2 linked regions of the Oryzias latipes genome follow. The main gene of each other region encodes a partner of the protein of the gene in region 2 in a complex. Links are inferred from orthologs where the notes say so. Each region holds a gene or a part of one and is shown on either strand. Other genes may lie near its edges. The genes, in order: wdpcp and intu.

Region 1 (4,461 bases), on a different chromosome or scaffold from region 2:
AAGTTTTTTGTTTTTTTTAGTATTTTGGTTCCTTTGGGGCAGGGCTATCCAAAATGTAACTGTAATGAAAAATAAATGTAACTACTCCTTAATGTTAGATAACTCATTTTGTATTATGACTTTTTAAAGTGACAATTCCAGTTGCATAGAAAACATATGTTTGCTTGTTACTTTAGCATAAATCCTTTTAAATTTGATTCTGTCAGGTTAGGTTATATTGACAGTGTTTAAGTCCTAATGTATAGTTGCCCAATCTGGTATTTCAAGTCTGATTCCCCCTAGATATGAATAAATACACACCAATTTCTATTTTTTATTATTTTTTAAATTAAAAACTTTTATGCTCTCGCGGGCCACACAAAATGACATGGCGGGCCACATTTTGCCCCCGGGCCATGGGTTTGACACATGTGCTTTAGGTGAAGAATTTTAAAAGCAATCTAATTTTTTTTTCATTTTCCTTTGGATTTCTTCCCATCTTAGGTTAGAGAAATAACCAAATTTTGCGTTTTATGTCTAAAGTCAATAGTTTGCAGACTTTGCAGATGCGTGAATACACTAGGAGCTTTAAAGAGCAGAGGTTAGCCGTTCAAAAAGCTCCTAGTGTTTTGGGTGTTCAGGTTAAACAAAGCAAGAAGGTGTCAAAATCTGGAGTCATCCAATTTCAGAGGGAAACTTTAAAGCACCCCCCTGCGATTCTCAAAGGCCAGACTTCTGCAGAAGCAGAAAGTGTTTGGGGAGAATCTTCAGCTGAAATCCATCAACACTTTTTTCCCCTGGAGCCCAGGGTCAGGTGAGTCAACACGAGCAGAAATCTGCAGCTTATACTGGCACCTGCTGGATGAATGCTGCCACTACAAGTGACTCTCCTGGCTGCTTTTGGAGGTGCATGGTAAGAAAAGTCTGATCCAAGTCTTTATCAGCTGATCTAAAGCATCAGGGACATGAACCTGCTAACGGACAGATGTGCCGCATGCTAAAAAAAGGTGTAGCTGATAGGAGCTCTGATCTATTTGTGTTCATTTGCTGTTTGTGTGTCCATGAGTGCTTATCTCACTGTTTGTGCTGGTACTCAATGAGGGCTGTTTGGTCTGTGGGGGACAACAGTTAGTTACCTGATAATCTGGCTCCTCTCTGTCCATGCAACAGGGTCGGTCAGGTGAAATCTACAGGGGCAAGAAGGGAATAACACAGGTGTGGACAAGAGGAGTGGAAGCCATGCTAACTTAGTCATGAACAGAGGATTAGGCCCCAACGGAATTTGGGCTCCTCCTCTGTGATCACTGGCCCACAGGTTTCACCTCAAACCCCACATTTTCTGATTGTTTTCACAGCACACACAGGAGATCAGGCCAGCATGCAAACGGCACCAGATATTATCGCCTGCCCCAACACTGCTTGCACTCTTATTCCCTTCTTTTTTTTTCTCTTTCTTTTTTTTTTCTACAAAGACAAAGCATCTCTAATCCCCTCATGTCAGCCCCACAGTGGAGAGTGCCAAAGAAATAAAAACAATAAACACCGGAGTCTGACTTGTCTGACTCTGTCAAACAACAGACTCTTTCAAATGCTCCCGGTCACCAGCCATTATTGTGAAACCAAAGGGATTTTAGGCGATTCTGCAGGATCTGCTCCATCATGCCCGCATGCCAAAGAAGGGCACCTACAGGTTAACAACAATACTCTAAAAAATGACTACGCTGATCTTAATAATACAACTGAGAGAAACCAATGCACATCCTTCAAATGTTAACCAACATAAAGGTACATTTTTACATTTATTCTTAATCTAAATTACCTCAAGCAAGTCCTAATTTAACCCCAACCCTCCGCTATGCAGATTTACCAATCCCCCTACTCACACATGTATTTTTCTAGATGATAAAATATTGATTCCATCTCTATTCCATTCTATCTCTAACAAAACATATTTAAGAAAATGTATCCATCACTTGATGAAAAAAATGAATCAATAAGTATTTTATATGATAAATAAAAACACATTTTTAAAAATGTAAGTTAGACAAAAACTAATAATTTTGACTTAAAGTAAATAAAATAATTTCATAAGCATTTGAATTACATTTCCTAGTCCCATGAACTGACATTGTTTTAACCACTGACGTGCACAAAGCTGATGTGGTTTCAAGTCATCACTTGAGGGTAAAGTTAAGGGGAAATCAGACACATTGGTACTAATCTCACAAACTGTGTAACTGCACTGAACATTTAGTTTTAAATAAAAATGTTCGAATACAGTGACTTATTTGAGGAAATGGCATTTTTGGTTTGTAAAAACCTAAAGTTAGTAATATGAAAGGCTTTTCTAACAAAACTCTAAATCAGAATGTTTTTTTTTAAAGAAATGCAGTAGACAGAAGATAAAGTAAAGTAAAAAAATAAGGCTGGTGAAACACATAACTGGGAGTTCCAAATAGGGAAAAATGGGAATATAGTATATATACATTCATGCGTAACTAGTAAAACATTAAACTTTAAATTTGATAATAAAAGTTTATTAAATTGCCACAGGTGCAGTCACAAACAAAAACTAGAGAAATTCATATAATCCCCTTACCTTAAATGCAGGATTTTGTTTTATAAAGTTCTTCTATTTCCTCCAAATGTTGATGTCACTGTGGGCTTAAGGCTTAAGCTAGCTAGTTAGCATTTTCTAAACTAAACTTGCTTTTTGCCGAAGATTTTAATAAATCTAGTCTCATGTTGACAGCTGCTTCAAAAGGCACCGTTTTAATTACTTAAATTAAACACAAACTAAACTTTCGAGTATATTTTTTGATGAGAAGCTGATCAGTTTAGCTTTTACATGTCGCTGCTGGTCGCTAGGCAACCTTCACACGCCTCCAATGCTAACCTGATGCTAACCAGCTATCGCGTTTACAGCTCATTGAACACCTTTCTTATTGTTAGTCACGTAAGCATATTCTATGGCATATCAAATATTCATCAATTTAAAAAATAATTGCAGGAATAAACAAAGTCAGACATTTTTGCTCTTTTCGCTTACAGGAAACACCAATACAAAACTACAATTCCCACAATGCCCCTCCTTGAATACCGTGAGAGCGATGCATATGTCGTAATCAACGGAGGGTTTAAATAGGCGTGAACTGCGGCTTTATCCAGAAGTGGAGAACAGTGCGACTCCTGAACAAATAATGGTAAGGTTATTCTGTTTAATAATAATTTCTTATTGTGGTTTCTGTATATGACAATGTGAGACCGAACTGTCTAAAAAAAGTTGTGAAATTAAGTAAAGTCAGCTAAATGTATTTTTGACTGCTTGTGGCACAGTAGTGATGAGTTCGTTATTTATTTATCTGCATTTAAAAAATATTCCTATCGTTTACATGACTTTTTAACCAACCTCTGTTACAGTTGAATGAATGGTGAAGATAACCTTAATAAACCCTGGATAATTTGTTATGTAACAGTGAGTGAAGGAGGGCATGGGAGTCTATTTATAAACTGACCCCATGCTGCAGTAAATCCTGTTGACAGGGGTAGTCACTGATCCCATGTGCTTTATATTACCAAACTGTCATTCTTGGCCTGTTGGTAAAATCTGGGTTGATAAATTAATTGAGTAACAAGACTCTCTGTTGTCTTGGATCCTGCAGGCTGAGCCAATCAGTGTTCTAGTGACTGGTGCTGCCGGACAGATTGCCTACTCCCTTCTGTTCAGCATCGCCAAAGGAGATGTTTTTGGCAAAGATCAGGTAATGAAATGATTTGTTCATTCCCTTCCTTCATCTGGTGATGGTCAGCTGTAAGGCAGGTGAAGGATGTGCCTCCAGCAGCTGTGAATGCAGCGGGTCTTCAATCGTATCCATTGCGGGTCTGAACAGGTGCCATCCCTGTGGGAGTCCATCAGATTGCACCCGATCATCTGTTTGGCCTTAGAGAAGCCATGATTGTCCTTGAAGTCTGCGAAGTGGATCTTGTTGCCAAGAGTCTTAGTCCATCTTAAACACCACTTGATCCGTTTGGCTCATGCTGCTGTCAGTAAAGGTGGATGTGTCATGACAGAAACACAACCCAGCCTGCTGCATGGACACCAACTTATGGATTTTTTTCCCCTGCATCTTACTTCCCCCTTTTCCTGACAGCCCATTATCCTGCTCCTTTTGGACATTACGCCCATGCTGCCTGTCCTGGAAGGGGTTGTCATGGAGCTGCAGGACTGTGCCCTCCCACTTCTGAGAGGTAAACCTTCCATCGAAACACATTTAATTCTATAAAGATGCAGATGTTGTTTGATATAAAAGAAATTTTGTTTTCTGGAGTTTAATGCCTCTCCATCTTTGCTGTAAGCGGGTCACATCAGGGCATTTTTTTCCAGCCTTTCATTTATTATTTTTAAAAGCTGTTCTTGCTCAAAAGCACAATTTATTATTAAAAAAAATGAACCCTATAAAACCATTTGTATCACATTTGGTA
Region 2 (3,817 bases):
CTGAAAAATAATGCTTCCGACCTGGTTATGCGCCCTCCTGTGACGTTCTCCAGCATGTCCGACAGAGTGAGGAAGATGCCCCTCACACCCTTTAGCTGACTGGATGCCTCAGAGACGGGATACTGATACAAGATTTCTTCCTGTGGACGACAAAAGCACGGTTGAAGCGCTGCTACGTTTTTGCGAAATCATAGCCCAGGTTTTCCATCGACACTTTTGGTCAACCTCACAACTGAAAAAGATGTGAAATAACTGAGTTTAGAGGCTGCAGGAGCCACAAGTTGATGTTAAAGACACACAAGAATAATGGATCCATGAGCCAGTGGATGTGTCATCCTAAAAATGTGGTTTGCTCTGACACTTCAGATGGACTGAACAAAAAGCTTTGCACTGCAAGAGATGGCAGAGTTTCAAGAAAGTGTCCTGAGACAAATGTGACATTTAAAGAAATGCACAAAAAAGTAACTGTTTTCTTTAAATGTATTTTACATGAGTGTTTTTAGTGAACTTCACACTAGTTTTATTGCATTTTTTAATTAAAAAAAAGCGGATTTTTTTTAACACTTTGGGCAAATGTAGCGCCTTTCTTATGAAGTTTGGCATTCTCCCTGCACTCTGAACTTTTCCAGAATGAGGGGGATGATGGAGTGCAGGGTGAAAGGATTTGGAAACCTTGAATGAACTGCTTCTAATAGCCTTGGCAACCAGACTAAAGGCCTAGACAACCCAGTCAGAGTGAGGGCGAGTGGCATTGGGAGTTGCTGAAGTGTGAGAAGAGCACTTCATCTGTCTTGATTATACAGACTGGCAAAGAAAAAAACTCAGAAAAAAAGGAAAGAAAGCTCACGTCAACAAATCCCTGCAACAGCAGAAGTCAGAAATACCACAGCCAGGCCTCTCCACTTTCTACAACCCTGCAATCAAAGGACTAAGAAGTCAAGAGTCCAGAGGATTCCTGCGTTTAGAAAATCAACCACTGGCTGATGTGGCTCCACACAAACCCTGCTCTCCATCTTCACTCCTATTTCATCCAAGAAGGAGTAAAAAAAAAAAAAACTGGCAGGCACAAACACAGTTAGGATCTGCAGAACAGTGAAGTACAACCCTCAACCTGAAATTAGCCGTCCACACAGACGCATGATTACAGTGTCGGGGGTGTCAGTCAGCAAACAACTGCAGCTTGCTTTCCTCTGCAACGCTCCGCTACAAGTGAGCTGCGTCCTCTTCCAGAGGATTTACAACACCGCCTCGCAAATGGCTCCCATTAAGAAAAGGAAATGTTTTATGTTTAAAGACTCCCTAACTGCTGCCGCACACAAAGAGATTATGTCGGGACAGAACCTGGTTCACACCATCGTGGTAACGGATCTTTTTTGACAGGTTTTAAGAGCTTTAGATGTGCTTCACCTGCTCCCCATGGGATTTGACTGCAGCCAACAGCAGTTTTCTGAAGATTTAGAAAACCTCTTGCTCCTGAAGTTTCCCGCAACTGTAGTTCTTCGCACTAAATCATCTGGATACACCGACAAAAATATTTGAAAGAGCTGGTCAAATAGGATTAAACAGTTTTTTAAACCAAATACCGGTACATTACAATCACAAACAGAAGACTTTTGTGTGTTGGATGGGATTTTTTAATTAAGTGAAACTCACCAGGATGCCTGTAAAAACACCAGATCATTCATACATGAGTTCAGCTGAAAGGTCTTTAGCCTGAACCACTCTGAAAACGGTCACTTTGGACTTACCATGTGATTTAATGGAGCAATGGATGAGACAGCTTTATTATTTCATGTACTTTGCTACTGCTGGCTTTTTCTGTTCAGCTCAGTCAGACCAGCTCAGGATGCTCAGAAAGTAGGGATGTAAAGATACAGATACGTAACAAACATCGGTCAAGCACTGGAAGTAATAACAGTTTCAGTTGGAAACCGCAGACACAAACAAGATTATGTGGGTAAAAAGGTATAAAATCGATTTTTTTTTCATAATGACAAAAAACAAGAGGCCAAAAATGCCAGGTTTTAATGTTTCAAGCTGATATGTAAAAGACATTTTGTTTTTGTTGCTTAAAATAAATTGTGCCAGTGAGAAAAAAAGAGTTTCTCAGCTAAAAGGGATGTTCCATTATAGCTTTAAGTCCAAAATGAATAATAAACATCTATTATATACAAAAGAATTGGACTGTATATGCGAACTGGACTGAGTGACCATGACATCATCCATAGAAAACAGTTTACTTCCAGCTCCCACCAAATGAAGTCAATTCAGTTGTCATTTTTTGGCGATATGGATGCCGCCATGTTGGAAACAGACGTCAATCAGTAGTGATTGGTCTGATCAACGTTTCTACGGCAACGCTCTCGCCAGTTAGGCGTGAGCTTGTTGGAAAGCCACACCCATTCCACTTGAAGGTGGGCTTGGGAGAATGTGTCAATCAAACATATTAAACATTCGATGTGGGGGCCAGCGGGCACCACCTACTTTTATTGAGGCATCACTTGATAACTTGAATACCTTACATTAGAGAAAAAAACATCATTTAAAACATTAGAATGAGCTAGAACATGTTAACAAAAAGGTCACAGATCAAGAATGATTATTCTAAGAAAAAGAATGACTGAGTAAAAGCTGTTTATTTCTCTATAGAAGTCCATGGTATTTTGGCTTCTTGGAGCCAGCGGGTACTTCCTGTATGGAACGTGAGGGGGAAGGAGTCACTCAGTCCAGATCTTTTACACACTCAATGGCCAAGCAGCTTCTTTTCCTGTTACCCCCCCCCCCTCCTCCCCAGGTGGATATCAGACCTTTTGACAGTTCCTTTAGCTGCTTACTGACCTCTTCCTGCAGCGACGATGAGTCCAGTTTAAGTGACAGGTACATGACAACGTGTGGGATGTGTCCCAGTGACATTTGCAGTTCAGCCGTGTCCTCCCCCCACAGCAGGCGCACCAGCTGGCTGACCGGTGGAGAAGCCTTTATCCTCTGAGTGGATGAAGTGCCCCTGGCCTCGTCCCTGTCCTTTAGAGCTACGGTTTCCAACGTCAGCCTCACCTGCAGGGGGGTGGGGAGAAAGACAAGAAAAAAAGAAGAAGAAAAGTGAAAGAATGAAGGATTACATGACCTACAATATTAAGAAGGTGTGGAAAAATTATTAAAAGAAACATTGATGAAGCTGCCTGTCTAAAGACCCACTACATTTGCATTCACACACCACTCGTCCTAAAGGGGGGAAAAGAGGGACAGAGAAAGTGATACAGTCATCTAGACCGAACCGCAGCATGACAAAGAGCTGGAATATGTGGCTGTGTGCTCGGCAAAATGAAAACCAGACCACTGCAAACCCACAAAAAAAAAACCACTCAGGACAGCAGATAGGGTCTGTCATTCATGCACAAGTTCTACTTTCCATTCTGTTCTATTTTCAAAAAATGTAACTGAGAAAATTAGGATTGGAGAGAACTCTGTCTCGAGTGAAATTATAACCGACACACATGGATGCACAGTGAAATAAAAGTAGACTGTCCTGTGAAAAAAATGGATGGTTTTCTATGTTCGATCTAAAATAAGAATACAGTTAAAAGCAGCTACAGAGACAAAGCGATAAAACAAAAATAATTCTCATTCTTTGCATACTTGGTGGAGAAAAACCCAAACGACGAGCACAAAAAACCTCATCACATTTAAAGAAAGCCACCTGTCAGAGTCAGCTATGGAGCTGTGCTGTTGTGGATGTAGGAGCATCAAACTCAAGAAGGAGCAGTATGTTAACACAGGGGTTTGAGACATCTGTTTGAAATCACCGGGAAAACGGGTT

What was found.
Region 1: the proteins of intu (region 2) and wdpcp are in contact, whole or in part, in a cryo-EM structure (PDB 7Q3E), measured with the Mus musculus proteins. The link is inferred for Oryzias latipes from reciprocal best matches to the Homo sapiens genes INTU and WDPCP. Residues at the interface, in NP_780724.3 of Mus musculus: Val481, Gln484, Val488, Asp491, Ser495, Asp496, Glu498, Ala499, Ala500, Asp501, Ser506, Glu507, Asp508, Arg513, Arg514, Thr517, Ser532, His533, Leu534, Pro535, His574, Tyr593, Glu610, Gly613, Cys614, Ala615, Ser616, Lys617, Ser653, Pro654; in NP_663400.2 of Mus musculus: Phe3, Cys4, Leu5, Ile24, Leu51, Ser54, Arg55, Asp56, Lys93, Leu385, Ala386, Glu387, Asp388, Tyr389, Ile427, Lys446, Leu447, Gly448, Ile449, Leu450, Thr451, Arg452, Gly453, Leu455, Leu462, Gln463, Ile465, His466, Tyr467, Gln487.

Annotation. Positions count from the first base shown.
Region 1 is NC_019873.2:11,912,300-11,916,760, reverse strand, and holds the start of wdpcp (WD repeat-containing and planar cell polarity effector protein fritz homolog), read right to left. Parts: upstream 3,025-4,461; 5' UTR 2,579-3,024; intron 1,167-2,578; 5' UTR 1,116-1,166; intron 1-1,115. Other genes in the region: mdhb (cytosolic malate dehydrogenase B), read left to right, coding at 3,180-3,182, 3,642-3,740, 4,131-4,227. UniProt on the Homo sapiens protein: Probable effector of the planar cell polarity signaling pathway which regulates the septin cytoskeleton in both ciliogenesis and collective cell movements.
Region 2 is NC_019876.2:18,867,168-18,870,984, reverse strand, and holds part of intu (protein inturned), read right to left. Parts: intron 3,055-3,817; coding exon 2,839-3,054; intron 141-2,838; coding exon 22-140; intron 1-21. UniProt on the Homo sapiens protein: Plays a key role in ciliogenesis and embryonic development.